7 linked regions of the Callithrix jacchus genome follow. The protein of the gene in region 1 interacts with the protein of each later gene in a pairwise test. Links are inferred from orthologs where the notes say so. Each region holds a gene or a part of one and is shown in the gene's direction. Other genes may lie near its edges.

What was found.
Region 2: the proteins of TNIK (region 1) and SRGAP3 interact in a two-hybrid assay, tested with the Homo sapiens proteins (2 studies listed by BioGRID and IntAct). The link is inferred for Callithrix jacchus from reciprocal best matches to the Homo sapiens genes TNIK and SRGAP3.
Region 3: the proteins of TNIK (region 1) and DPYSL3 interact in a two-hybrid assay, tested with the Homo sapiens proteins (2 studies listed by BioGRID and IntAct). The link is inferred for Callithrix jacchus from reciprocal best matches to the Homo sapiens genes TNIK and DPYSL3.
Region 4: the proteins of TNIK (region 1) and AGTPBP1 interact in a two-hybrid assay, tested with the Homo sapiens proteins (2 studies listed by BioGRID and IntAct). The link is inferred for Callithrix jacchus from reciprocal best matches to the Homo sapiens genes TNIK and AGTPBP1.
Region 5: the proteins of TNIK (region 1) and HARS1 interact in a two-hybrid assay, tested with the Homo sapiens proteins (2 studies listed by BioGRID and IntAct). The link is inferred for Callithrix jacchus from reciprocal best matches to the Homo sapiens genes TNIK and HARS1.
Region 6: the proteins of TNIK (region 1) and ACTG1 interact in a two-hybrid assay, tested with the Homo sapiens proteins (2 studies listed by BioGRID and IntAct). The link is inferred for Callithrix jacchus from reciprocal best matches to the Homo sapiens genes TNIK and ACTG1.
Region 7: the proteins of TNIK (region 1) and PAFAH1B1 interact in a two-hybrid assay, tested with the Homo sapiens proteins (2 studies listed by BioGRID and IntAct). The link is inferred for Callithrix jacchus from reciprocal best matches to the Homo sapiens genes TNIK and PAFAH1B1.

What each region holds. Positions count from the first base shown.
Region 1 is NC_133518.1:15,936,465-15,939,964, forward strand, and holds part of TNIK (TRAF2 and NCK-interacting protein kinase), read left to right. Parts: intron 1-2,304; coding exon 2,305-2,469; intron 2,470-3,500. UniProt on the Homo sapiens protein: Serine/threonine kinase that acts as an essential activator of the Wnt signaling pathway. Recruited to promoters of Wnt target genes and required to activate their expression. May act by phosphorylating TCF4/TCF7L2.
Region 2 is NC_133516.1:66,218,394-66,221,893, reverse strand, and holds part of SRGAP3 (SLIT-ROBO Rho GTPase-activating protein 3), read left to right. Parts: intron 1-2,831; coding exon 2,832-2,966; intron 2,967-3,500. UniProt on the Homo sapiens protein: GTPase-activating protein for RAC1 and perhaps Cdc42, but not for RhoA small GTPase. May attenuate RAC1 signaling in neurons.
Region 3 is NC_133503.1:46,031,269-46,035,540, reverse strand, and holds the start of DPYSL3 (dihydropyrimidinase-related protein 3), read left to right. Parts: upstream 1-1,472; 5' UTR 1,473-1,715; coding exon 1,716-2,096; intron 2,097-4,272.
Region 4 is NC_133502.1:97,423,272-97,426,771, forward strand, and holds part of AGTPBP1 (cytosolic carboxypeptidase 1), read left to right. Parts: coding exon 1-12; intron 13-1,616; coding exon 1,617-1,748; intron 1,749-3,500. UniProt on the Homo sapiens protein: Metallocarboxypeptidase that mediates protein deglutamylation of tubulin and non-tubulin target proteins.
Region 5 is NC_133503.1:39,057,980-39,061,951, reverse strand, and holds the start of HARS1 (histidine--tRNA ligase, cytoplasmic), read left to right. Parts: upstream 1-1,172; 5' UTR 1,173-1,245; coding exon 1,246-1,335; intron 1,336-1,604; coding exon 1,605-1,694; intron 1,695-3,972. Other genes in the region: HARS2 (histidine--tRNA ligase, mitochondrial), read right to left, coding at 794-901. UniProt on the Homo sapiens protein: Catalyzes the ATP-dependent ligation of histidine to the 3'-end of its cognate tRNA, via the formation of an aminoacyl-adenylate intermediate (His-AMP). Plays a role in axon guidance.
Region 6 is NC_133506.1:137,174,493-137,178,750, reverse strand, and holds the start of ACTG1 (actin, cytoplasmic 2), read left to right. Parts: upstream 1-1,458; 5' UTR 1,459-1,527; intron 1,528-1,906; 5' UTR 1,907-1,912; coding exon 1,913-2,035; intron 2,036-2,123; coding exon 2,124-2,363; intron 2,364-2,637; coding exon 2,638-3,076; intron 3,077-3,158; coding exon 3,159-3,340; intron 3,341-3,432; coding exon 3,433-3,576; 3' UTR 3,577-4,258. UniProt on the Homo sapiens protein: Actins are highly conserved proteins that are involved in various types of cell motility and are ubiquitously expressed in all eukaryotic cells.
Region 7 is NC_133506.1:65,660,552-65,664,661, reverse strand, and holds the start of PAFAH1B1 (platelet-activating factor acetylhydrolase IB subunit beta), read left to right. Parts: upstream 1-1,310; 5' UTR 1,311-1,661; exon of another isoform or gene 1,662-2,313; intron 2,314-2,487; exon of another isoform or gene 2,488-2,536; intron 2,537-3,078; exon of another isoform or gene 3,079-3,132; intron 3,133-4,110. UniProt on the Homo sapiens protein: Regulatory subunit (beta subunit) of the cytosolic type I platelet-activating factor (PAF) acetylhydrolase (PAF-AH (I)), an enzyme that catalyzes the hydrolyze of the acetyl group at the sn-2 position of PAF and its analogs and participates in PAF inactivation.

The sequences.
Region 1 (3,500 bases):
TACTATGTAAACTAACTGTTAGAAAGCATAAGAGACTTTTACTAGAAGTACATTAGCAACATCTATACATAACTAATAAAATCCATTAATTGCCTATGAAAACCAGTACCCTAATTTCTGCCCTGTTCATTTCTAATGATGGCTTTAGGGCCCGTGTGGCCTGTGGTCCTGTTAGCAGCAGGGATGCTTTGACTGGAGCCTTGACGCTGATACTTACCAAAAGAATTCTTTATCTCAAAAATGGTTTTTTTGCTCAAGATAGAGTTTTCGGGGGCAAACTTTTCTACTATTGCTTTTAATATACTGTCCCTTAATGTATATTTAAAGCCATTAGTGTGTTTTAGAGCCCAAACTAATAATTACAAGTATTCCTCACTCAGCATATATTTGGTTCCTGAATTTTGGGTGACAGGTAGTTGGTTTGCATAGTGAGGGTTCGGACACTGAAGGATGCTTGTGTGTGATTTCTCTATTAATGATTAACTCTGAAAATAAGAAAATGGATAATATCTGACCAATGCCAGTGGTCTAGAAACATTAACCTTCTTTCAAAGAGTTTGGCATTTGAAAAAGTGATCTATTGCATGCCTTGATCTCAGTTATCTATTGCTGTCTTTGTGGGACGTCTTATCTCAAGGCTGGCTTTGTTCTTTTGCTCAGTGCAATAGCCAAATAACTATTGCTGATGTAATACTTTGCACACATGCACACACAAAGTATACATGGTCTGGTTTATATTCCTGGCTTTTTGCAGCAAATCTTATTTGGCGAGGGGTAAGCTTCTGGGGCATGGGATTTCAAAACCGAAGTCAGCTAGATGCCAATTGTATGTACCCTGCACAGCCATGGTGGGGGAATAGATGTTCAAATTACTCCTCAGTAGAGGCAAGAGGGCTGTTCTTCATTCTGTAGCTCCTCTTATTGTGTTAAAATACGTGAGATTAATATGAGTTTGAAAACAGACTTGCTTTGTATATTTGATTGAGTCTGCCTCTAGAAAAATTCAAAATTGGATAGGGAGGATGAGGGAAAATAGCTCTTTCAAATTTTTATTTCAAATCAGGCAGTAAAATGAATAAAGATTTTTAGCTGCTACATAAGAAATATGCAAACAGACATGAATATTGAACACCTGCATGGGGGCTCTTAAAATGCTCAGACAGTGAGTCAGCAGAAGAGAATTCAGGCCATGCATGTGGGGAGAATGGTTGCATTGTCCTGGTGGCTTTGGGAAGCACAACAGTCAAACTGGTCCTCAAGAAATCAAGGACAGGACACAGTTGATCTGGAAGAAAAGTCACAGAATTTTTAAAGTTGTCTAAGATCTTAAGCTGTATCTTATAGTGTGCATCTTGTTTATCTAAATTCCTCTTTAAAACTGTCCTCCACGACAGTCTTTCTGCTGTAAATATGTACTAAGGGTAATGATTACCTGTTTAAAAAGAGCATTCACTAGTTCTGTGAGCACTGCCCATGAGGCACTTGGGACCTGTTACCTGCTTTGGGCTGAAAGAGACTCTGGAAGGAGGGGAATGACGAGGAAGTGAAATAGCCTGAGAGAAGCAGGGTTAGAGGGGAAGCAGGAATGAACACCACATGTGTAGAAACAGGGAGGAAGAGAGGGGAGAGCGAGACAGTGCAGTCCAAGCAGGGCATGAAAGAATGACAGGGGCCATTGTATTTGAGGAAGCAGGAAAGACAACTGGGAAGAAAGACCCTTAAAGAGAGAAAAAGAAAGTGACACAGGAAGTCTATTCTAAACAGGCCACGCTCATTAATTAGGCAGCCTGGAGCCCCCAGTTGCCTATCAGTAGGACACGTGAAGAAACGGAGGGTGCATGTTCTCAGCTTCAACCTCTTGTTCTTCCTCTCATGTCCCATGAGTCAACCCAAAGCAATTTTCAATGTTCCCCAAGCCATCTAAATGCATGCTACCATTCCCTTTGATTGTCTAGAGTGCAAACTGTCTCCCTCACTGACCCCATGGCATTAGGACCAATCAGTAAGATAACATCACAATCCATGCGAGAAAAACTCTCAGCAGGTCACAAATTCCCTGCTAACGGAACAACACAAGATAATGGGTTAAGCAAAGAGTGGTGGCCTGGGTGTTCTACATTTTTGTTGTTGTTGCCAGTGTTTGCTCTTTGCAAATTCTTGATGCAGAGCAGAAATGGAGAGTTTTGGCTCCTTAAAATCAGTTGATCAGAGGATTCAAATGGCTGTGCAGGTGACTACAGAAAATCCTTGCTAGAAGGTGGATCTACTTCTACACATTGAGGCTGTCTCTTTTTTGGCTTGTAGGTAGAAGAACGGTCAAGGCTCAACCGGCAAAGTTCCCCCGCCATGCCTCACAAGGTTGCCAACAGAATATCTGACCCCAGTCTGCCCCCAAGGTCGGAGTCCTTCAGCATTAGTGGAGTTCAGCCTGCTCGGACACCCCCGATGCTCAGACCAGTCGATCCCCAGGTATAATCTCTCCTCCATTCCATCAGGCATACCAATAGGGTACACAAGAAAACCTACTAAAAGCCTAGGGAATTGTGACATGGATTCAGGCATAGGACAATCAAATTATGACCCTTAATATATAATTTTTATACTCACCAATATTGAAGAATAGAAGAAAAGGTAAGAAAGTAAAAAGCATCACCCTTAAACTTGAGGCAACTGTAAACTCACTTCTATGTAAATTGGCCTCCCTGGGGACCCGTAGGAGTTTCTGCAAAATAAGAACAAGCATCCTTTTAGTTACAATTATGAAAACTAGAATTCATAGAGAGCTTTGAGGTGTGTGTATATGTACACTGTATCTATACGTATAAGATTTCATTTTCTTGGGACTTTGACATGAGCCTGAAGCTGGAAAAATTAAATGGACTTGGTTAAATAAAATGACATCTTCTAAGCCAGTGGTTCTCAAAATGTAATCAATGGACCAGCAGCATCAAGTCTCACTCAGGAACTTGATAGAAATGCAGATTATTGGGCCCACTTCAGACCAACTGATCTGTGGGTGGGGGAGGGCTGGCAGTCTGATTTAACAAGCCCTCTAAGTGATTCTAATGTACTTTGGATTTTGAGAATGACTATTTAAAGCTATACGGTAAAGAAAAAAGATTACTCCACTTTTAGGAAAGGATGGAGTTTCCGGAAGCGCTACAGGACTTTGAAGTTATAGATGCTAAAATGAAATATGAAGTGAAATAGATTATGGAATTCCATGAAAAATAAAAATAATATAGTTTCTTCTGCCAAATGTCTTACATTTCTTCCAGGCATCCACTTGTGTTAAGATTTCCATGAAACTTTTCAGGGTCACCTTTGAAATATGCAATGCTGTTTGAACTGGAGTTAAAAGAGTAGTGATAAAACCAAGTATTCTTAGTGTTTTAAGTTTGCCTTTAATAAATGAAGTCCAAGATTTTTCAGCACCAGCCGGCTTGGCATATCTTCCTCTCGGTTATTTTACATTTGTATATCATTCTTTCATGTCTAAC
Region 2 (3,500 bases), on another chromosome or scaffold:
ATTCAACCCCAGGTAATACAGAGAACACCACGAAGATATTCCTCAAGAAGAGCAACCCCAAGGCACATAATCATTAGATTCACCAGGGTTGAAACGAAGGAGAAAATACTAAGGGCAGCCAGAGAGAAAGGTCAGGTTACCCACAAAGGCAAGCCTATCAGACTTACAGCAGATCTCTCAGCAGAAACTCTACAAGCCAGAAGAGAGTGGGGGCCAATATTCAACATCCTCAAATAACAGAACCTTCAGCCCAGAATTTCATATCCAGCCAAACTAAGCTTCACAACTGAAGGAAAAATAAAATCTTTTATGAACAAGCAAGTACTCAAAGAGATTTTATTACCACCAGGCCTGCTTTACAAGAGCTTCTGAAAGAAGCATTACACACAGAAAGAAACAACCAGTATCAGCCCTTCTAAAAATATACCAAAAAGTAAAGAGCACCAACATAAAGAAGAATTTACACCAACGAATGGATAAAACAGCCAGTTAACATCAAATGACAGTAGCCCTAAATTTAAATCGACTAAATCCCCCAATCAAAAGACACAGCCAAAACCCAACGGCATGTTACATCCAGACCTGTTTCACATGCAAGGATACACAAAGACTCAAAACAAAGGAATGGAGAAAGATTTACCAACCAAATGGAGAGCAAAAATAAATAAATAAATAAATAAAAAGCAGGAGTTGCAATTCTCATAGCGGATAAAATAGATTTTAAAGCAACAAAGATATAGTGGTAAAAGGATCAATACAACAACAAGAGCTAACAATCCTAACACCCAGATACATAGAGACTTAGATTCAATGAGACAGAAAATTAATAAGGATATCAAGGACTCGAACTCAGATCTGGAACAAGTAAACTTAATAAATATTTATAGAGCTCTCCACTTCAAATACATAAAATATACATTCTTGTCAATACCACATCACATGTACTCATAGGTTTAAATGAAACATTGATTGGCCATTATTAATACCCATTTTTTTTTCAGAATAAAGCAATATTTCCATTCACCCTCCCTCTCTCTCTTCCTCTTTCTTTCTCTCCTTTACTCATTTTTTTTCTTTCCTTCTCTCAAAAAGAGAAATCAACTTGTAAACCTCTAGATCCAAGTTGGCAATGTCTCTCTCATTGCTTGAATTCCTTCTTTCCTTTCCCTCCCTTCCTCCCCCCTTCCTCCCTTCCTTCCTTCATCCCTTCCTTCCTCCCTCCCTTCCTCCTTCCCTCCCTTCCTGCCTTCCTCCCTTCCTCCTTCCCTCCCAAAAAAAAAAAAAAAAATCAGTATGAACTTAAGAAAAAAAATTCTAATTCTATCCACTGAAAGAATCTCGTTATGACGCCTCTGCAGCAATGAGCACACCTAGTACCTAGATCTTGATGTCTCTTTATGATTCTCTACGAAAAGCAAACAGAGCTTGTTGAAGAAACGTTTGATTCTGGAGCTGGATAAAGGAAAGTAAAAAGTAATTGGTGGCTTTTTTGTGTCCAGAAAGCAAGGAAGTGCTCAATGAAGGTCACATTAAAAGGACACAAGAAATTATACTTCCTGGCTAAATTTGGGACAATTTAAGTATTCCAAAAAACGGTGATGGTAATGGATAATCACAATTAAGTTAAAAATTACAAAAACAAGTGTATAGAAATATTAACAATAAGGGAGTGAGGGTGGGTGACATGAGGACAGCTCTTCTTTATAAAAGAATTCCTGCTGATACACAGAGAAGAAATGACACAATTAGAAAATCACCATGTTGTGACCCCCAGTGGAACAATTAATTTGGGCAGAAATCATTGCTGGTTGCAAAAATCATCACTGGATGCTAAAACCATTGGGTGAAACATGTTGGGCACTACAGGCACATGGTCTCAAAGTATCATGACACTTTGAGTATCATTTCATGGATCATACTTATTACAAAGTGAGGGAAAATACCTTTATAATGTAGAGATCCGGAGGCCACCACCTTAACCCAGTGATCAAGGCTGGCATCACCAGCAGCGGGACAGTCTGATGTATGTGCCTGCTAATGGGATGCATTAAGGTGTTTGTAACATCACCCATATAGTGTTCCTGCCAAAAATATTGAATTATAATCTAATTATGAGACAACACATCTGGAGTGTGAGGCATTCTATAAGACAACTGGCTAGGGCTCTTCAGAAAGAGCCGATATTATAAAACACAAACTAGCATGCAAAAATATCAGGGTGTGTTTTACACTTAAAGGACTCAAGAAATGTAACCACCAAATTAATTGTGTGAACATTGATTAGACCTTGGCTTTTGAACAAATTCTGTAAAAGATACCGTGGGACAACTGGGGATATCTGAATTGTAGGCTGTCTATGAGATGTTATTTTTCAATGGTTAATTTTCTTAGGTGTAATAATATTGTGGTTACGTAGGTGAATATCCTTATTCTTAGAAGAGTGTTGAAGTAGTTAGCAGTGGTGTGTTTTGATGTCTACAGAATAATCTCAAATAGTGGAGCAACAATAAATATAAATACAGAAAGAATGAGAAATCAAATATGGCAAGATGAGTGTAAGTGAAGGGTGATGGGTGTTCATTATTTTATTTTTTACAACTTTATAGATTTGAACATTTTGGTTTTTTTTTTCTTTTTGCGGGGGCGTGCTGCCAATTAAGGAGTTGCAGGGAGAACTTTAAACTTGCTGAAGGGGGTCTCATATGTGGGGAAGGCTTCTCCCATCTGCCGTTCCGGTGGTTTGGGCTGGGCCAGGCCATCTCTTCTGCCATCTGATGCTCTCTGACTCCTTCCCAAGCTGAGACATCACCTCCTCTCTTGTTTCCACTCAGGTGAAGACCCCCTTGTGGACGATCAAAATGAACGAGATATCAATTCAGTCGCTGGTGTTTTAAAACTGTATTTCCGAGGACTGGAAAACCCACTCTTTCCTAAGGAAAGGTTTCAAGATTTGATATCTACTATTAGTAAGTATTTCCCAGGTTAAATGATCAGTTCTTTGACAAATCATTGTTGGAGTTGAGCCACAGGCCCATTGCTGTGCTAGGCATAGAGGGGGAATATTATGAAAAAGTGTAGCCTGCATCCTTATAGCTGAAAGTGGAAATAATAAGCTAGTTTATAATGAAAGGGCTCATGGTTGTGGCACATACCCTGGGTAGAGAAGAAGCTCAGAGGACAACCAGAGGAACACTTGGTTTCATAGATCAGAGCCAAAAGAGTGCTGGGAGCAGAGTGTTCCATGCATGGTGCTAGAGGCTGGAAGGGGAAAATGGAGCAAGATGGGGAAGACCTTGAATGCCTTGCTAACATTCCAGAGCTTTTCCCCTTGGGTGAAGGGGAGCCATGGAAAGTTTAGAGGTCAGGTCAGCAGCATGACCAGCAAGGGAAATGGTGAAAGTAAGTTGACTGGGGATTTTCACTGACATTGCTAGTTAATGGTAAGCAACTGTTGTGTTTCTGTGGATAAAATCAGGAGGAACCCAGTCTAGGGGGCTGAT
Region 3 (4,272 bases), on another chromosome or scaffold:
GAGGCAGGAGAATTGCCTGAACCCAGGAGGCGGAGGTTGCGGTGAGCCGAGATCGCGCCATTGCACTCCAGCCTGGGTAACAAGAGCGAAACTCCGTCTCAAAAAAAAAAAAAAAAAAAAGAATGTTATCAAGTGCCTGTAGATGTTCTGGTCACAAGATATACAAAGGTGAACTGAACAGACCAGAGCTCTGCCTTCTTGGAGTTTAGTGTGTGTGTGTCTGTGCTTGGGAGGGGGAGTGTCTGGCTCACAAAATATACTAAGTTCAGTATGTTGAGCAGAGCAGACTGTGCTACCTAGATGTGTGGTTATACATTTGTGGTGAGGACAGGCCCATCTTCCTTGTTCGACCCCGTCACTCCAGTACCTTGTGAAAGGCATATTAGGTACCTGATTTATGTTGGCTGACTAAATAAATGAATGGGTGGACTTTCTGAGAGGGGACCCAGTAAATCCAGCACCACAGGTTTTGGGTTTAGGATGTGTGTGTGGATATGATGTAAGGTGTGTAGTTTGTGGACTCTGTTTATGTGGCAAAGTCTGGGTCAGAGTATACGTGGTAGATGTGGAGGAGAGGATGAGATATGAAAGCACAGATGTACATAAGAAAGTCTGCCTGTGTGTGAGGTAATATGAAAAGCCAAGTGTTTGGTTGTGTAATTTTGAAGTAAATCCGGGCTTGGGTGTGAATCTAAGTGTAGGTTCTGACTGAGGTAAACCTGGGCTGTGTCAGCGTGTGAGATTAAAATGTGGGGGTGGTTGTTTGAGGGACAGAGCATTAATGAAGAGTGATTTGCAGGGCAAAGTCTAAGAATGTGTGTGTGTGTGTCTGTGATCTGAAATGTCATTGTGTGTGAGGCAAATTAGGGGTGGTAAAAGCAAAAGCTACGATATTATATACAAACTAAGAAAGGGCTCATGTGAGTCAAAGGGAAGGAAGAGGGCCTCTCTCTCAGTGTGCTTGTGTTGTGTGTGCAAACCAATTCAGGACTTTATGTGAGGGTGTGGGTTCTCAAGGCTGATCCTGGAACTGGGTGTAATTGTGAGTGTAATCTTAAAGATGAGGATGAGGCACGTCCGGGGTTCTGGGTAGGATTGTGAGTCTGTCGTAAATTTGAGTTTTCATGTGTTACTTGTAGATCAGGACTTGGCTTTGAGATGAATCCACCTGGGTCAGCATTGTTTTTGTGCATGAGGGGCGACCTAAAGCTTTGTGTTTGTGAGGCGAACGTGAGGCAAACTAGGGAGTCAGTGGGGGTGAGACAGTCAAGTTCCTGAGCGTGAACATTTCTAAGGCGTCTGAATGGCGAGTCAGTGTGTGAAGCGAGGCTGCTGCGCGAGCGGGCAGTGTGCGCCTGTGTGTGCGTGTGCGCGCGCGCCAAGTTTGGTTTGTGTTTGTGATGGGCACCGACGCTGCGTCAGCCCGGGAGGCCACGTTAGGGTTGGGGGTGCGTGAGGAGGTGCGGCCGGCCGAGAGGTCCCGCGAGCGAGCCGAGCGCGCCGCTCCTCCGGGCCCCTGCGCCTAGCGCTAGCTGGCTGTGTGGCTCGCTGGCTCGCTGGGGACAGGCAGGAATCGGAGCAGCACTGCCGCCTCTGGCGCGAAGGCTCAGGCGCCTCCTCCCGCCCCAGTCACTGTGGCTCGGCGCACGCTGCCGGCGGCTGCCCTTTCCGCCTCTGGGGAAGAAAAACCCGCGGGCCGTTTTCGCGCTTGAACCATGGCCTCGGGCCGGAGGGGCTGGGACAGCTCCCACGAAGACGATCTGCCCGTGTACCTGGCCAGGCCGGGCACCACGGACCAGGTCCCGCGGCAGAAATACGGCGGCATGTTCTGCAACGTGGAGGGCGCCTTCGAGAGCAAGACGCTGGATTTCGATGCCCTGAGCGTGGGGCAGCGGGGCGCGAAGACCCCTCGGAGCGGCCAGGGCAGCGACCGAGGCTCGGGAAGCCGGCCCGGCATCGAGGGGGACACCCCGCGCAGGGGCCAAGGCCGGGAAGAGATCAGGGAGCCCGCGCCCGCGTCCTCCGCGCCCGCCGGGGTGGAGATCCGGAGCGCCACCGGCAAAGAGGTGTTACAGAACCTCGGCCCCAAGGACAAGGTAAGGGGACCCTGGGTCACTTCCCTGCTTGCCTTGGTTCCTTTCTCCAGCCCCGGCCGCCATGGCCCGGGCACAACTTTCTCCAGCTCACTTTGCACAGGGCTGGGGGGACCAGGAGGAGGAAAGGGGCATTCGCCACTGAGCGTAGCGCGACTTCCTAGCTCAGACGCTGGATTCACGCGTGTAGCCACTTGCAGCATCTTCGTGCAAGCGCGGAAAGGATGCCCGGGTCCCCCTGCCTGGCGCCGCGTCCTTTACCCCTGCCTCCTCTCCGCACCCCTGGGCCATCCGTTCTGGGTGGGTGTGTCAGCCCGGGAAAGCTTAGTGATTTCCAGCTCTTCTCTCTGTGTGAGTAACCAACAGCACAATTGCCTTGCCCCCCGCTCTGGCCCTAGATTAAATCTCAACCCGGGTCACCAGGGCAGAGGGCAAAGTGATGCTGGGAATATGGGGTCATCTCCATAGTCCCCGGATGAAAGTACAGGATGAGCGGTCTCCCCTCTCACTCTTCAAACATCAGCTCTGCTCCTGAAACTTTTAGGTGTGGAGCCTCTAGACTAAACACTCGAATATCTCTCTATGCCTCGCTTATGTCTTAGCACGGCATTTCGCATCTGTGTTTGTAAAGAGTGTATTTGTGTACATAGCTTGGCACAAGACCGGGTATACAGGGGTCCAGCTGCCTCTGCAAGAATAGCATTATATTTTAGAAAATAGACGAGAGTATTAAGAGTGCACATTAAACTAGCATGAGATGCAAATTCCCTGCTGCTCTTAAATGTGCCAAAGCCAATTTCTTCTGTATGTGTATTTTTGAGAAACTTATGTCACACTGAACTGACTGAGGGATGGCATTGAAATCTAGCTTGCCCTGATTTTTGTGTCTATTTCATAGAGAATCAGAGTTGTAGTTCAGAAAATTCAGGACCTGGCAGGGCTGCAGACTTCAGAGTTCAAACTGAAGCTTTTAGATAGGGAATAATAGTAATCAGATGCTTCACCCTAGTCTAGGTAATAGCTTCAAAATCCATCCACATGTATTATTCTGCACTAATATGGTTAGAAATAATAAGCTGAAATGGAAATGTCTGCCTCAGAGCAATTGCAGTTAATGCTTCTCCAGGTTTTAGTTGGTTTTCCATTAAAATGCAATGAGCTAATGAAAGGACAACATCTTTCTCCACTGTCTGATTTTTGAAAGTTTAGACCGACAGACCAACCAACCGACCAACCGGCTGACCAACCAACCAACCAACCAACCAACCTTTAACTACCAAGATGACCAGGGAAAATAAATACTGAAGTTAGTGCTGTTCAAGGGTACCACTTGGGAAACAATGTCAGTTTCCTCTGGAATCACTCATCTAGCTTGTGATTTTCACATCATCCTTTGAGTGTGGGATTCCCCTGAGCTCTTGTTTACTAACATTTTAGGGAACACTTCTGATATTTTGCAAATGTTTGGGTTGATAGCTAAACTGAAGAAGAGCTCTATAGAAAGGTTATTCCTGTTCTTCATGTCTGACTTGATCCATATTGAAATGTTCCCTTCCTGACTGCCAGGGGCGGGAGTAGTGATGGAAAAGGTCGGTAACAATTGCTGTGAGTCAGTGCTATTCCCTTTGCTGAAACACCCCTGATGTAAGCCAGATAATATGCTGGGTTTGCAAAATTTAAGAATGGTAACTAGAGAAAGGGAAAATATTCCTCCTTTAAACCTAGCAATTCTCCCGTTTTCTTCCCTTTTGCAAACCCTATACTTTTGGCTACTAATTGAGAAACAATAATACAACCTAGGCACCAGCAGGATTGCTAGTGCTATATAGTTATTTGTAAGTTTGGGCTTGCAGTCTGCTTCGTCCAGGCCGTGTTATTATCTCTAATTTGATTGAATCATACTGTCAGAAGAGACCACAGAGGTTATCAAGTTCTGAATTTGTTTATTTCCTTCAGGGTAGAGATTGTATATTTGGATTTATGTGTGTGGCTAGAATGCTTGGCACACTGGAGGTGTTCAATAAATATTTGATAAACTAAACTCTTTAATTAGCCATGTCTTTTTCCGCATAGATGGTAAAAGGATCATCTGGCCTCTGTTTAAATACCACTGTTGTCAGGGAGCTCACTTCTTCATGAAGGAACTTTTTGGACTTTACTTAAAAAAAAAAAATTAAGC
Region 4 (3,500 bases), on another chromosome or scaffold:
CGTTTACCTTTGGTAAGTAGCATTACTTGTTTTTACTTGGTATAGTCAAAGATAAAATGTCATTTTTTGTTATCAAGTACTTGTGTAATAATCGTGGGGTCAGATTCATCCATTAATGTTTGTATTCTTAATTTTACAAGGGTGAATGTTTATAATTCTCTTATATAAGCCTTTTACTTTTCTTTTTTGGTTATGAATATTGATAACTCTTGGTTTTAGATACTTAATTTCACTGCTTGAACAACACTAAGGTAACAATATGTATCTTCAAATTCTCAAACTAGGAGCTTATTCTGAGTTTTCTAGTCAGCTCTGAAGCTGTTAAATCTCTACTACACAAATGGGAAATGTAGTACAGGCATGACTGAACTGAACTATATACATATGCTTTTTCTGTTCTCACCAGCTTTTGATTAGGATGTTTTCATGATATTAGTATGTATATTATTTAATCTTTCTTTAAGAAAGAAAGGCTTTGCAGAGGAGTAAAATTGACATGTCTTTTAGTTTTTATTTTTTTAAAAATGATGCTCTTAAAGCCATACCCTTCTTTATGGTGTTTTTTAATAAATAAGAGCATTTTCTAGTTTTTGTTGTTGTTGTTGTTGTTGTTGTTGTTATTATTCGCTTTTAAATCAAAAAAATTTTTTTTGAGACAAATTTTTGCTCTTGTTGCCCAGATTGGAGTGCATTGGCATGATCTCGGCTCACTGCAACCTACACCTCCCAGGGTCAAGCTATTCTCTTGCCTCCGTCTCCCAAGTAGCTGGAATTACAGGCACCCACAACCACTCCTGGCTAATTTTTATATTTTTAGTATAGATGGGGTTTTGCCATGTTGGTCAGGCTGGCATTGAACTCCTAACTTCTGGTGATCCACCCACCTTGGCCTCCACCTCCCAGGGTCAAGCTATTCTCTTGCCTCCGTCTCCCAAGTAGCTGGAATTACAGGCACCCACAACCACTCCTGGCTAATTTTTATATTTTTAGTATAGATGGGGTTTTGCCATGTTGGTCAGGCTGGCATTGAGCTCCTAACTTCTGGTGATCCACCCACCTTGGCCTCCCAAAGTGTTGGGATTACAGGCGTGAGGCACTGCTCCAGACTAAATTAGGTAAATGTTTTTATAACCATTTGGGGCAGCAGTCACCACAGCTGTAGATTTGAACTATAATGAAATGTATTATTTTTAAAATGGTGAATAGTAAATACAAAGGTGATATAGGACCTTTAAAGGATTTGGCAATTCTAGAATTAATTATAGATCCTTTCCCAAACTAGGCATTAATAGGCATTATCACTTTTATTGGTCATAATTGTTAAATGGTGGCTCTTTTACAAGAAACAACAACAAAAGAAATTTAAAAACCACAACAGAAAAAAAAAAAAAAAACAAGAAAATGCCCTTATTTATTAAAAAACACCGTAAAGAAGGGTATGGTTTTAATTTAATTTTTAAGAGTATCATTTTTAAAAAAATAAAAAATAAAAGACATGTTTATTTACAATAAAAAGACCAAGGAACACAGACCTACATGTTTATTGGCTTGATATTAACTACCTTGACTTAGTAATATAAGGAAGTCTTTTAATTTTTAAAACACGTATTTTCAAGGTTTATTGTGATTATCATGGCCATTCCCGAAAGAAGAATGTATTTATGTATGGTTGCAGCATCAAGGAGACAGTGTGGCGTACCAATGATAATGCAACTTCATGTGATGTTGTGGAAGATACGGGATACAGGGTAATTATTATAGATCATTCATGACTTTTTGAATTTTAAACATGCATAAAAGTATAGAAAATACATATATTAACATATATGAACTACTCAGATTCAGTAAATGTTGACATTTTGCCATTTTTGTTTCAGATTTTTCATTTTAAAAGTTTTTCATGTTCATATTTTTCATCTACTTGGAATTCATCTTTGTGTGAGATGTGGGGATCTAATTCTGTTTTCTCTATGAATACCAGTTGGCTTGCACCATTAACTGGATAGTATCTCTTCCTCTGTCAATTTGATGATGCCATCTGTTACATACCTTATTTCACATATATGGGTGTATGGCGAGGCTATTATTTTAGCCATTCTTGTTTCTGTCTCTTTGCAAACAACATTTTTAAAATTACTGTAGATTTATAATTAATGTTGATATATTGTAGGGCAAATTTTCCTTTCTTATTCTTTTAAAAATTGTTTGACTCTTTTTTTCTCTGTACTTGTGAATTTTAGGATCCGTTTGTGGATAAACTTTTTTGGAATTTGCATTAGAGCTGCCTTGAATCTAAAGTTGGAATTATTATAATGATATATAACATTGTCATCTGTGACTACTGCCTATGTGTCTAGTCAAGTCTTATATTTAATAAAGTATAAAATTTTTTCACATAGGTGTGAAATGTTTGTTAGATTTATTCCCAAATACTTTATGAATTCTATTAGAGTTTGGAATGGAATTTTTCCCCACATATCTGCCTGCCCCTAATTGATCATTGTTGGTACATAGAAAAGCTATTGATTTTTTTTTTTTCAGAAAAGATTTCTACACATTTTTCAGATTCTTCTACAGAGGATTACATATAAGAATGGCATCACATTTCACAGTGGCAACACTGGAAGCAAAACTTTGTGGTGCAAATCTTCACAATTCTCAACTAGATTTCCAACCTATAAATTTCATACTTCATTCTGTCAGTAAGTGTGAAAATAAAAAAGGATGTTCTCAGACATTTAAAGTCTCAAAAATTTACCTCACAAATAGCCTTTCTTTGGAAGCTTCTGGAAGACATTCTTACCAAAATAAAGGAATATATGAAAGAGGAAGGCATACAGAAATTAAGTTCAAGAGAGAGACAAAGCCCAGGATAAAGATGGGGGAAGACCCCAATAATGTATGTAAAATGCCCAACATGTCAACAGTCAACAAGTGTTCCTGCCATACAACCTTCAGAAATAGAGTTTTATTAGGTTAGACTGCACTAAATAAAGGAAACCAAGTAGATTAGCACAGCTCAGTGATACAGTGAAGGGGACTATTTAGTCGAGATCCAGATAAATAAATGTAAGAAAATGAGACTAGCGAGAGGCCCAGAGAATGGGAGAAAGCTAGATGAAGAGCACATGCACAGAGCCTTCCCATAGACTCTCTCTGGAACAGCGCCATCATTGCCACCATTGCCTCACCTGGTCGTTTTTGCTTGTGTCATACTTCACTTCAAGGAGTTCTCACTTAGGCCCCAAAATGAAATCAGATCATACATCTATAGGATTATCTATCCTTTTACCACTTAAGAATTATAATTGTAAGATTTTCTATGTTATTTGATTAATGGGGTTCTCTTTGTACTAGGTAGTAAACTCCATATGCCTAGCAAATATGTCTGATTTGCTCATTTTGTCAATATTGCCACTATATAGCACAATACCTTATTCATAATAAGTACTCAATAGGTATTTGTTGTTAGGTGGGTTGATGGATGAATAGCAGACAGA
Region 5 (3,972 bases), on another chromosome or scaffold:
GTCCATAATCCCTTATCTGCAATTCCAAAATCCAAAAATCTCTGAAATCCGAAAATGTTTTTCTGAGATTCATTTTGAGGTAAATTCTAAGGTGAACTCAGTCTACTTGTGGTCTTTAGTCATCTTATTTATTAGGAATATTCATACATTTTGCTTAAAAATATTACTGTTTGAGCCGGGCGTGGTGGCTCACCCCTGTAATCCCAGCACTTTGGGAGGCCGAGGCGGGTGGATCACGAGGTCAAGAGATCGAGACCATTCTGGTCAACATGGTGAAACCCCGTCTCTACTAAAAATACAAAAAATTAGCTGGGCGTGATGGCGCGTGCCTGTAATCCCAGCTACTCAGGAGGCTGAGGCAGGAGAATTGCCTGAACCCAGGAGGCGGAGGTTGCGGTGAGCCGAGATCGCGCCATTGCACTCCAGCCTGGGTAACAAGAGCGAAACTCCGTCTCCAAAAAAAAAAAATTACTGTTTGAGTCGAAGAGTTTCAGGAAAAAGAGCCTGGATATGAATTAAAATACACCCTTCCTACATATCCGTGTATAAATCATTCATTTAATCTTGCAGCCTCCGTTTCCTCATCTGCAGAATGGAAATAAAATCTCCGACCTCTCAAGACTGCTGCAAGGATTAAATGACCAGGCACCCATATCTTTTAGTTTGGTGTCAGTACATAGTAGGCACTCGATAAAAACCGACTGCAACGCTACTGGATTACAGGCCACAAGTCTACGCTTTCAGATCTGGAGGCCCCGCTGGGACAGACCACAGATAATTCTGTCTCGCTCACCTGGCTGTGGCAACGGACCGCCCGGGTGCACGAAGCGCAGGGCGGTCGCAGAAGCTGGCTGAGCAGCGCAGCCCAGGCCCTCCTGGGTAGAAGTCCGAGCTGGGGCATCGCGCGGCAGGACTCCGGATTTCCGGGACAGGAACAAAAGGTCTTGGAAGGAGGCGGGTCGGACTCTAGGAAGGGTGCAGGGCGCTGCAAAGACGAAACCCGGGCACCTGGGACACCTCGAGCGTTCGCGCACCTCACCAGTCACGAAAGCTAAGCTCTGAGCCTCCCAAGTTACCTTAGTAGCCAGCTACGGCACTTCCTGTAGGAGACGGAAATAATTTTTGCGCTCAACGGAGGCTCTCTAGGCATGCGAGCCTGCGACTCGATAGCCGGAAGTCATCCTTGCTGAGGCTGAAGCCGCCACAGCAGGGCTAGGCAGCAGTCGGCTCAAGTGGGTAGACGGGATGGCAGAGCGTGCGGCACTGGAGGAGCTGGTGAAACTTCAGGGAGAGCGCGTGCGAGGCCTCAAACAGCAGAAAGCCAGCGCCGAGCTGGTGAGACAAGCAGCAGGGAGAGGGCCTCGGCAAAGCCTGAGAGGATGTAGAGCCAGGATGTTCGGGATATAGGACAGGGATATGAGGGAAAGGACCAGGCTTGTAGGGAGGAGGGTGGGCTGCGTGGGGAGGCATCCGGGGTGGGTCCCGAGAGAAACAAAGCTAGGCCTGAGCAGAGAGATTCTGATGAGGAAGGAATATTGAATGAATGGGAGGGGGAGGGAGGAGAGTGACAGATGGATAGCCCAGCGCCTTGTTTCCTTCCACAGATCGAGGAGGAGGTGGCAAAACTGCTGAAACTGAAGGCACAGCTGGGTCCTGATGAAAGCAAACAGAAGTTTGTGCTCAAAACCCCCAAGGTAATATCATTCCTGTAGGGAGCCACTGAGAGGGTCTCTAATTCTGCCTCCCTAAACCAGGCCATTGAGGAGAATCTGAAATACTGCAGAGGAGAGGACAGTTGCTCTGGGCACTGGGCTGTACTGGACTCTACCTGAGTCATTCTGGGATGGCAAAGTAATGCCAGAAAGTAGGCCAGCTTGGTGATAAGGGGAGTCAGCCTACTGCTGCTACTCCTTCATTCGTTCGGTAAATACGTATTTACTGCTTACTATGTCTCTAGCACTGTACAAAGCACTGAATATACCATGGAGGACAATATAGCCTACCCTCATGGAGCTTACATTCTACTGAAGGAGAGAGACTTAGAATAAATAATCCCACACATGGATTTTTTTTTTTTTTTTTTTTTTGAGAGGGAGTACCCTCTATTACCCAGGCTGGAGTGCAGTGCCCACAATCTTGGCTCACTGCAGCCTCTGCCTCCTGGGTTCAAGCAATTCTCCTGCTTCAGCCTCCTGAGTAGCTGGGACTACAGGTGCCCACACCATGCCAGGCTAATTTTTGTATTTTTAGTAGAGATGGGGTTTCATCATACTGGTCAGGCTGGTCTTGACCTCCTTACCTTAAGTGATCTGCCTGCATACAATGGATAAGTAATTACATATTGTGAAAAATGATATAAAGAAATTAACAAGGTTGCTCTGAGAAAAATAAGGGAGAACTGGGGAATCTGAGAAAGGCTAACTGAGGAAGTGATAAACTAACTGATATAATGGATGAGTAGGAAATAGCAAGAGAAAGTGTGACAAAGATAGGTCCATGTAGAGTATGGAAACCCTGAAGCGGGAAAGAACTTTGGTGGTTTTGAGGAACTAGAGGATGATCTATATGGCTAGAACTAGGTAAAGGAGAGTAGAGTGGAATGAGATTGGAGATTCTTAGCTTATCTTCCAGTTCAGTTCCACTTTCTGTAAGCTCTGTAAACAGAATTGTTTACCCCTTCATCTGGGTTCTCTTGGCACTTCATACATACTTCTGTTATTGCACCAACTTTAAGTAGTTATTTATGTGGTTTATTTACCCTGAGGCTGAGACTAGGTGCCTAAATAGTATAGTCAGCCCTCCATATCCCAGGGTCCCACATTCATAAATTCAACCAACCGTGGATCAAAACCATTCGGGGGAAAGAAACAAATTAAAAAAGAAATCTAGCTGAGTGTGGTGGCTCACACCTGTAATCCCACTACTTTGGAAGGCCGAGAGGGGAGGATCACTTGAGCCCAGGAGTTTGAGACCAGCTTGAGCAACGTAGCAAGACCCTATCTTTACACAAAAAAGAAAAAGGTGTGGTTTTTTGGGGTTTTTTTTTTTTTAGACGAAGTTTCACTCTTGTTGCCCAGGCTAGAGTGCAATGGCATGATCTTGGCTCACCACAATCTCCACCTCCCAGGTTCAAGCGATTCTCCTGCCTCAGCCTCTCACGTAGCTGGGATTATAGGCATGCACCACCATGCCCAGCTAATTTTGTATTTTTAGTAGAGACATGGTTTCTCCATGTTGGTCAGACTGGTCTCGAACTCCCAACCTCAGGTGATCTGCCCGCCTCAGCCTCCCAAAGTGCTGGGATTACAGGCATGAGCCACTGGCCCAGCCAAAAAAAAAAAAACTTTTCAAATCTAATGTAACAGTAAAAAATTTCAAATAAAAAGTACAGTATAACAACTATTTATATAGCATTTACATTGTCTAAGGTATTATAAATAAGCTAGAGACTATTTAAAGTATACAGGAGGATGTGCATATAATTTTATATCAGCAGCTTGAGCATCCATGGATTTTGGTATCCACATGGGGCCTAGAACCAATCTCCTCTGGATACTAAGGGATGACTGAATTTCATAAATGTATTTGAAATTGAATTCCAAAGGAGAGGGGAGATGGTCTTTCTTTTGTTAAGATTAATTCTTTGGGTTCCTAAATTCATTGAGCCTTTTCTTTCTACATATAACTTATTTTTGAAGGTTAAAGAGAGTGTAAAATCCGAAAGTGGTAATGCTCAGTGATTATTCAAAGTATTATATGAAAAGCTTATTGTGGAATTTATGATGGATCAGTCTGTCCTCACCAGTGATCAGTGTCAACATCACTAAAAGTAGGACAACCAGATGTTCCTGCTGCTGTAATGCAATAAGAAGTACACGGCACCACCTATGAAGTACTCTTGCCAAGTAAATTGAACTTGACTCTAATCAGATCTTTGGACTAACTATCAATTTACAGGAAATACTAGAGATG
Region 6 (4,258 bases), on another chromosome or scaffold:
TGTTTGTTGGGGGCTCAGCCCCGGTTTCGCCCCGGTAAGGCACACACCTGAGAAGCTTGCCCGGTCCCCGGAGTCTGTGCCTGTGGGGCTGAGCACCCCCGGGAGGCCTGGGATACCGAGGTCTTAGGCACAGGTCTCGGGGTCCGGGGTGACTGCAGCCCGCAGGTGAGCTGGGCCCGACTCCCAAACACCGCGTCTGAAGCTCACTTTGCAGGGCTCAGGGCGCGGGACTCCGCGTGGGGACCTCGGTCCCGCCCCCCAGCCTGTCGAGTACAGCTGAACGGTCTGCGACCTTGGCCGAGTCGTCGCCTCACTGCGCCGCCCCACTGCCCCTCCGTGGCCGGCACTCTCATCCTGAAAATTCCACAGCACACACGGAAACCGTAGCGCCGGGAGCCCCGCGGGGTGTAACCGAAGCACCGCGCTAGCAGGTGCGGCCAGGCCGGTGCCGGGGATGACAGGTCTTCCCGCCGAGTCTCCAAGCGAGGCGTGCGCGCCCGGGACCAGCCAGCCTGTGCCCAAACCCACGCCAGCCCTGACCCCCTGCCTTTAACTGGCCTCGAAAACAGGGAGGGGATTCCCCGCGGCCTCCCCAGACTGGGGAGCCGACCTTCAAGAAAGTCAAGATTATGGTCTCTACCTCAGTTTCCCTATAATGTCTACAGGTGAGCAGCATGAAACAAAGGCCTCGCTGCGCACCGCCTACTCAGCAGATAGGGGGCGGGATAGCCCCTACCCGGAGCCTGCGCCTGGGGCAAACCGGGCCTGTGATTTCAGGGACAGGGATGTGTCGGCTCGGGTAGAAAGGGGTATCGGGCTCCAAACCCACGGAGACCCGGGGCGGGGCGCCCCGTGGAGGGACCTGTGGGGTAGTGGCTGCGTTCGGGGACGGGAGGCTTCTTCCTATGGTGACCGGGGCGAGGTGAGGGCTCCCCCGCACCTAGAAACGCCGAGCGCCGGGGATCCCCGCCGCGCCCCTCCCCCAGCCCGGCCCGGGCGTGGAGCCCGAAGGGAAAGCCCGCAGGGGACGTCCCGGGGAGCAAAGCCCCGCAGCGTGGCCCGGACCGCGGGGACCCACCCCAGCTCCCGCATGGCCCCGCCCCGGGTCAGGCAGTTTCGGGGCGCAGCCCGGCCCTCCCCACACGGCAGTCCCGGGTCGCAGCCAGGCCCGTCAGCCCTTCGGCCTTCCGAGCGACCCCGGGAGGGAGACCCCACCCAGCCCCCCTCGCCAGCCCCAGTGTCGCGAGCGCGCGGGGGTGGCGCAGGCGGTGCCGGTGGGAGGTGGTGCGGGCTGGGGGCGGGGCGGACCGGGGCCCCACGTGACCAGGCCGGGCGGGCCAATGAGCGCCCGGCTTTCGGAAAGATCGCCATATATGGACATGTTCTGGGGCCGCGCGCGCCGCCGGGCCGCGCGGGCGCGCTGCTTTCTCTTAAAAAGCGGCGCGGGAGGCCCCAGTCGGTCTCAGTCGCCGCTGCCAGGTCGCGTACGGTGTTCTCTTGCTGCTCCGCTCCCCTGCTCCTCTGCTGGTAAGCGCTCCTCATCGGACCCGAGGAGGATGTTTCTGGCCGTCCCCCCTCGACCCCCGCGGGCCCCGCTTTCCGCCGCGGACGCTTCGCCGCGTCGTTTTCGGGAACAAAAGGCTGGCTCCGCCTGGGTGGGCCACGCGGGTACCGTTGGGCGGATGCCGTAGGTTTAGGGCGGGGCCCGGCCGCAGTGCGGAGTTCGGGGCGGTGGGCTTTACGTAAAAGGCACGGGTGCTGGTTCAAAGCTGTTGTGGTGTTGGAGGCTTCGGCTTCCGGGGTTGGGGTGGAGCGTAACGCTCCTCCGCCGGAGGGTCTTGGTTGGCTCTGGGTGGCGGGGTTGTTTTCCAGCGGGCCCCGCCTGAGTCCGTCGCTTTCCTGGCAGGTCGCAATGGAAGAAGAAATTGCTGCGCTCGTCATCGACAATGGTTCCGGCATGTGCAAAGCTGGCTTTGCTGGGGACGACGCCCCCCGAGCCGTGTTTCCCTCCATTGTCGGGCGCCCTCGGCACCAGGTGAGTGGAGGGCGCCACGGGGCTCCTGGGTTCTGCGCTGCGGGATGGGATCGGGGGCCGCGGCGAGCCTGATGGCAACTCCCTGCAGGGCGTGATGGTCGGCATGGGCCAGAAGGACTCCTACGTGGGCGACGAGGCCCAGAGCAAGCGCGGCATCCTGACCCTGAAGTACCCCATCGAGCACGGCATCGTCACCAATTGGGATGATATGGAGAAAATCTGGCACCACACTTTTTACAATGAGTTGCGTGTGGCCCCGGAGGAGCACCCCGTGCTGCTGACCGAGGCCCCCCTGAACCCCAAGGCCAACAGAGAGAAGATGACTCAGGTGAGGCTCGGCGATGCCCGTGCTCTCGTCCGTTTTCCTAGTCATTTTCTGCCCAGCTTGATTTCTGACATTTAAGTGTTTCTTTCGCTGTTCCAGGCTCTGTTCCTCTCCCGGCATTTCCTCCCTGAAGCCTCCAGGTTTCTTATTTGGTTTCTGCCTGCGTTCTTTTCTGTTCTCCACACATCACACTGGCATGCAGCATGTTGTGGCGTGTGAGCATGGGGTGGTCGCGGGTCCTTGCCCCTGACTAAGCCGTCTCGTCTTCTACCTTCAGATCATGTTTGAGACCTTCAACACCCCAGCCATGTACGTGGCTATCCAGGCCGTGCTGTCCCTCTACGCCTCTGGGCGCACCACTGGTATTGTCATGGACTCTGGAGACGGGGTAACCCACACGGTGCCCATTTATGAGGGCTATGCCCTTCCACACGCTATCCTGCGTCTGGACCTGGCTGGCCGGGACCTGACCGACTACCTCATGAAGATCCTCACGGAGCGCGGCTACAGCTTCACCACCACGGCCGAGCGGGAGATCGTACGCGACATCAAGGAGAAGCTGTGCTATGTCGCCCTGGACTTCGAGCAGGAGATGGCCACAGCTGCATCCTCCTCCTCTCTGGAGAAGAGCTATGAGCTGCCTGACGGCCAGGTCATCACCATTGGTAACGAGCGGTTCCGGTGTCCGGAGGCGCTGTTCCAGCCTTCTTTTCTTGGTAGGTGTTCAGTCTAAGGGCTTCTGAGAGCGCTTTGATTCTGGGCACCATAGCACCACTAAGGGAGGGCTTTGTCCCCTAGGCATGGAATCTTGTGGCATCCATGAGACCACCTTCAACTCCATCATGAAGTGTGATGTGGACATCCGCAAAGACCTGTACGCCAACACTGTGCTGTCTGGCGGCACCACCATGTACCCAGGCATCGCCGACAGGATGCAGAAGGAGATCACTGCTCTTGCGCCCAGCACCATGAAGATCAAGGTGAGTTAAGGGATCGGTGGCCCTCGGCCTGGCTCAGGATGCCTGGCTGGGGATGCTGTGTGAACTCAAGCCATGCCTGGCTGTCTTTGCAGATCATTGCACCCCCAGAGCGTAAGTACTCCGTGTGGATCGGCGGCTCCATCCTGGCCTCACTGTCCACCTTCCAACAGATGTGGATTAGCAAGCAGGAGTACGATGAGTCTGGCCCCTCCATCGTCCACCGCAAATGCTTCTAAATGGACTGCGAGCAGATGCGTAGCATTTGCTGCATGGGTTAATTCGGAAGTATAAATTTGCCCCTGGCAAATGCATACACCTCATGCTAGCCTCATGAAACTGGAATAAGCCTTTGAAAAGAAATTGTCCTTGAAGCTTGTATCTGATATCAGCACTGGATTGTAGAACTTGTTGCTGATTTTGACCTTGTATTCAAGTTAATTGTTCCCCTTATTTGTTTAATACCCTGTACATAGCAGATTTCAACTTTTAGTACATGTGGCTTGGTCACTTCGTGGCTGAGGTAAAAATGTGCTTGGGGGCAGACAAGTCTGCCTTGGTGAGTGCATGGCCAGCAGTCTCTTAGTTGAGCAGGGTATTCATGTGTCAGAGCTTAGTGTTCTGGGATTGCTCTAGAGGCTGGCAAGGGCTGCCAGTCTGTCAGGGTGGGAAAGTCCAAGCCATAGGACCCGGTCTCCTTTCTTACCTGATGTTTTCCTGCCAGAGCACCATGGGCTGTTACTTGCCTTGAGTTGGAAGCGGTTTTCATTTACACCTGTAAATGTATTCATCCTTTTAATTTATGTAAGGTTTTTTTTTTATTGTACACAACTGTCAAATCTTGAAAGAGATGACAACAAATTTCGGTTTTCTACTGTTATGTGAGAACATTAGGCCCCAGCAACACGTCATTGTGTGAAG
Region 7 (4,110 bases), on another chromosome or scaffold:
TAAATTGTCTCTTTCATTAACTCTGCTGCTTCTCAAATGCAGTATATATATATATTTACCTACATAAAGTGGAGCAATAAAATCAGTACATATAAGCTTAAGCCCGTTTCAAGAAAAGAGCTCCCTTGGACAATACAAATTAATGACGAGATAAGCTCATTTGAAACCTCTTTTTAAAATAATAGCGCATATTGAATTATTCAGAACCCCAAATCTCACTGTTTAAAAATCAAGGGTCACCTGGCGCTGTGTCTCAGGCCTGTAATGCCAGACCTCACCTGAGGTCAGGGGTTTCAGACCAGCCTGGCCAACATGGTGAAATCCCGTCTCTAGTAAAAATACAAAAATTAGCCGAGAGTGGTGGCGCGTGCCTATAATCCCAACTACTCGGGAAGTTGAGGCAGGAGAATCGATTGAACTCAGGAGGCGGAGGGTGCAGTGAGCCGATATCGCGCCGCCGCACTCCAGCCTGGGCGACAGAAGAGACTCCGTCTCAAAAAAAAAAAAAAAAATCAAGGGTCTCTATGTGGAATAAATTACTAATCCCCAAGACGACTGTCATCAGTAGTTCAATCCATAATTTAGCAACCTCACACAGACATCCCTCACAGGGATAAAGTTCCAGGCCTTTCTTTGGGCATCGGTTTCCAGACCTGGAGAGACTCTGGTGTGTGTGTGACTAAGGAGAATAGCTGAATCACATCTAAAAGCGAGTCCTCCCAATTAAGAATCTATAATAAAAATGAAGACAATGATAGCATTCCATCTGCCTTTTAACCTCGACAGTTCTTCCTCCCAAGCCAACAAGCCTACTCCCCTCCCTCATTCCCCCCGCAAACTGGGAAATTATCTCCGAGGCCCGAGGCAGAGGGGCGGTAAGGTGGCCGGGCCCCGCTGCCTCTCCCGCCTCCCGAGGCTCGCTCCGCACGGTGCCAGCGGGTCCCCGCGGTCGGCCGCAAGGTCGCAAAAGCGGGGGGGGGGCGGGGAGGTGAGGAGGGCCAGAGTTCAGATGGGGCCACAGGTCAGAGGAGGGGCTGGGAAAAAGGAGCCTTCCCAAGGTTACCGAAGCGTGCGGACCGCGAAAAGCGCGCAGACTCGCCGCTGGCCCGGGGGCACTGAGTAGCCGCCCGCCCGCTAGAAGGCAGCGCTGCCCCGGCCCGGCCCAGCCCCGCGCATGCGCTGCAGCCCCTCCTCCGCTCCCGGCGCCCGCCCCTCCCGCTTCCTGGCGGGTCTGGGGCGGCGGCGGCGGCGGCGGCGGTGGCGGCTGCGGCGGCGCGGTGACGTCAGGGCGTTGGGGCAGCTCCTGTGACAGACGGAGCTGGAGCAGTGGGGCGGCGGCGGAGTCCGGCGGCCGGGAGGGCGAGTGAGCGAGCGGAGGAGCGGTGACCCGGAGGTCTAGGGAGCGAGAAGGAAAAGGAGGGGAGCGCTCCGGCGCGAGCGAGAGAAACCGCGAGCGCCGAGCTTAGGCTCGAGCCCCGGAACGGCTGAGGAGCCCGCCCGCTCCCCTCCCCTCCCCCTCCCCGGGCCCGGGCCCAGCGCGCCATCCTCCCCTCCTCCTTCCCTCCCTCCCTCCTCCCTCCCCCCCTCCCTCCCCCTCCCCCGCCGGTGGATGGGAGTGAAGGACGGAAGAGGCCCTGCGGAGGCGGCGGTGCAGCGCTCCGGTAAGGCGGCGCGGGTTTGCGCCCTCATCTGTCTCCTCCACCGCACCCAGGCTGCTGCGGGCCGGGCCCGGCGGCCTGACGATGTGGCTGCGCGGGTCCCCTCCCTCCCATTCTCCCCTCCCCCTGCCGCCGCCGCCGCCGCCTCCTCCTTCTTCTTCTCTCATCGCTCTCAAAATGGCGGCCGCGACGGCCGTTGAGTGAGAGACCCGGAGGAGGGGGATTGGCCGGGGAGGGCGCTGCCCTCGCTCCTCTCCGCCGGGGCCCGGCCCTGGGGGCTGCCCGCGCCGCTGCGACCCTCCCGCGGCCCTCCGCATGAAGGGATCGTCCTCCTCCCTCAGTGACTTAGCAAGAAAAGTATTCTTGGGTAGGAAGGGCGTGGGGAGCAGGTCGCTCTCTGATCTCGGGGAAGGGGATCGGCTTCGCTCTCCCCGGTCGCGGAGGCGAGCTCCGCAGTCCCCACCCCACCCTCCGTGGTCGGCTCGGGGACCGGCTCTGCGCCGCGCCGCCGGGGCACCCACCGGGCCTTCCAGGCGTTCCGTCCCCCACCCGTCCTTAGGATGGGGTTGAGCAGCGGAGGGTGGCCCACAGTCTCCCTGGCCCCCAGAGCTGTGGTCCAGCCTCAGCACCCGCCAAGGAGTGGCAGCCCTGCCCGCTGAGCAATCCGCAGCATCCACCCACCAAATCTGGCAGGATTTTCTTTCTGCCACCGGCTCCTCGAACGGGAGTTGCCTTTTGATACTGTTAACATTGAGCTTCGAGGCCCTCTGCCATTCCCCTTCATCTCATCCCTGCCCCTATGGGAAACGCAGTGCCTGGGTATATTTACCTTCTTTAACCTCCCGGGTGAGAAAATGCCTTTGAGGTGGTCGGCACATTTTGACGCTTAGAGACATAACAGTAGAGTGCAAAAGGTTTTCAGTATTTAGTAGGAGAGAGCAAGTTATCTTAGCTTTATTTGATATGCTGCCTTTTTTCAGTGACTTAGCAAGAAACTCCTCGGGAAGAGGGCAGGAAATTTTGTTTTGGGGTTTGGACCCAATTTATATCAATCTTTTGGTTAAGAAAATACGCCTTTGAAGAGGAGGACCAGATTTGTGGTTTCGTTCTCAATGGGCGATGTCATGCCAAGGTTCCCCCTCAGTCTTTCCTTAAGTGGCAGTCCGGACAAATGGAGATATTACTGTGATTCCCACTTCTCCTTTAAGAGCCCAGTCTTTGAGATTCATAACGTTTTAAAGGCCAATTTGTGCCAATCTTGGCAATTCTATTTTTGTTGGGGGAGGGTGGGTTATTTTGTGTGATTTTATTTTTGAGGCCAGAGCGGAGGAGACAGTGTTTGGGCCTTCTATACCTGTAATAATGCCATCCCTCCCTTTTTGCCACAGCAGTGTTTCTTTTCTTTTCTTTTTTGCTGCAGCGGGGCCTGATTGCTGCGGGGTCCAGTCTCATAATGAGGAAAATTTCCTGTTGAGTATGTCATCATAGTGATGTTGAATGTATATAAAAGCTTTTACTTAAAAAATTCTGATACGGTTTTAAGGCATTAGCTAGCTTTTAATCTCTAATGGGTGTCTTTTAGGACACAGTTTCACAAAATAATTGGCAGTTGCAAATTGCAGTTTTTAATAAAGCACAAGAGTAATCTGTATTTAGGGCGATTTCTTTCGTGTTCATTAATGATCATTGTTTGGATTGTTCAGAATGGGTGGAATCTCCTAAAAGAAATTTAAGGCTGGTATATATTTTTTGAAAATCGGAAAGAAACCCAGTTTTTTACATAAAGTACTTCTGTATATGTTGATTTTGATGGAGCAAACCCTGTGTTGGTACCTCCCCCTACTTCCTTTTAAAAAAAATGGGCTAATGTTTGTGGATGCTGTGAACAGCCATTGAGCAGAGAAGACTGGGTGGAGTAAGGGAGCAGAAGCTGTGAAATGCTAGATTGCCCTTTCACAGCGTCTTTCTCTTGCTTAGGTTTTATAAGGTTATTTGATATGAATGGTTGCTATAACTAAGTCATTTTTCTGTAGTAAATTTTAAAATCTAATGTTTTCTACCTTTTTTGCATGATGGGTATTGAATGATTGGGTTAAAAAGCAGTGTCCCTGCTTTAATACAGACACTTATTGTCTCTGTATTTGTCCGTGTGTCTCTGTCTATATATATTAATATATATAGGCACACACACATATGTCTACACTCTCATTAATGTTTTTTATTGTTCTAGTCATATCAGTATAAATTAATTAATGTCAGAACTATTTGCTAAGAATTAGTAGGAGGTATAGGAATACTGCAAAATTCTAAAAAAAAAAAAAAAAAAACCAAAAAACTACAGTTTTCTTCTACTTAAAACAGTAAATCTGTTTAAGGTTTTAAAATAATGAACATAAAATATGAGAAAAAAAGGATAAGATAATTTGCATTAAAGGCCCTTTAAACCTTTTTT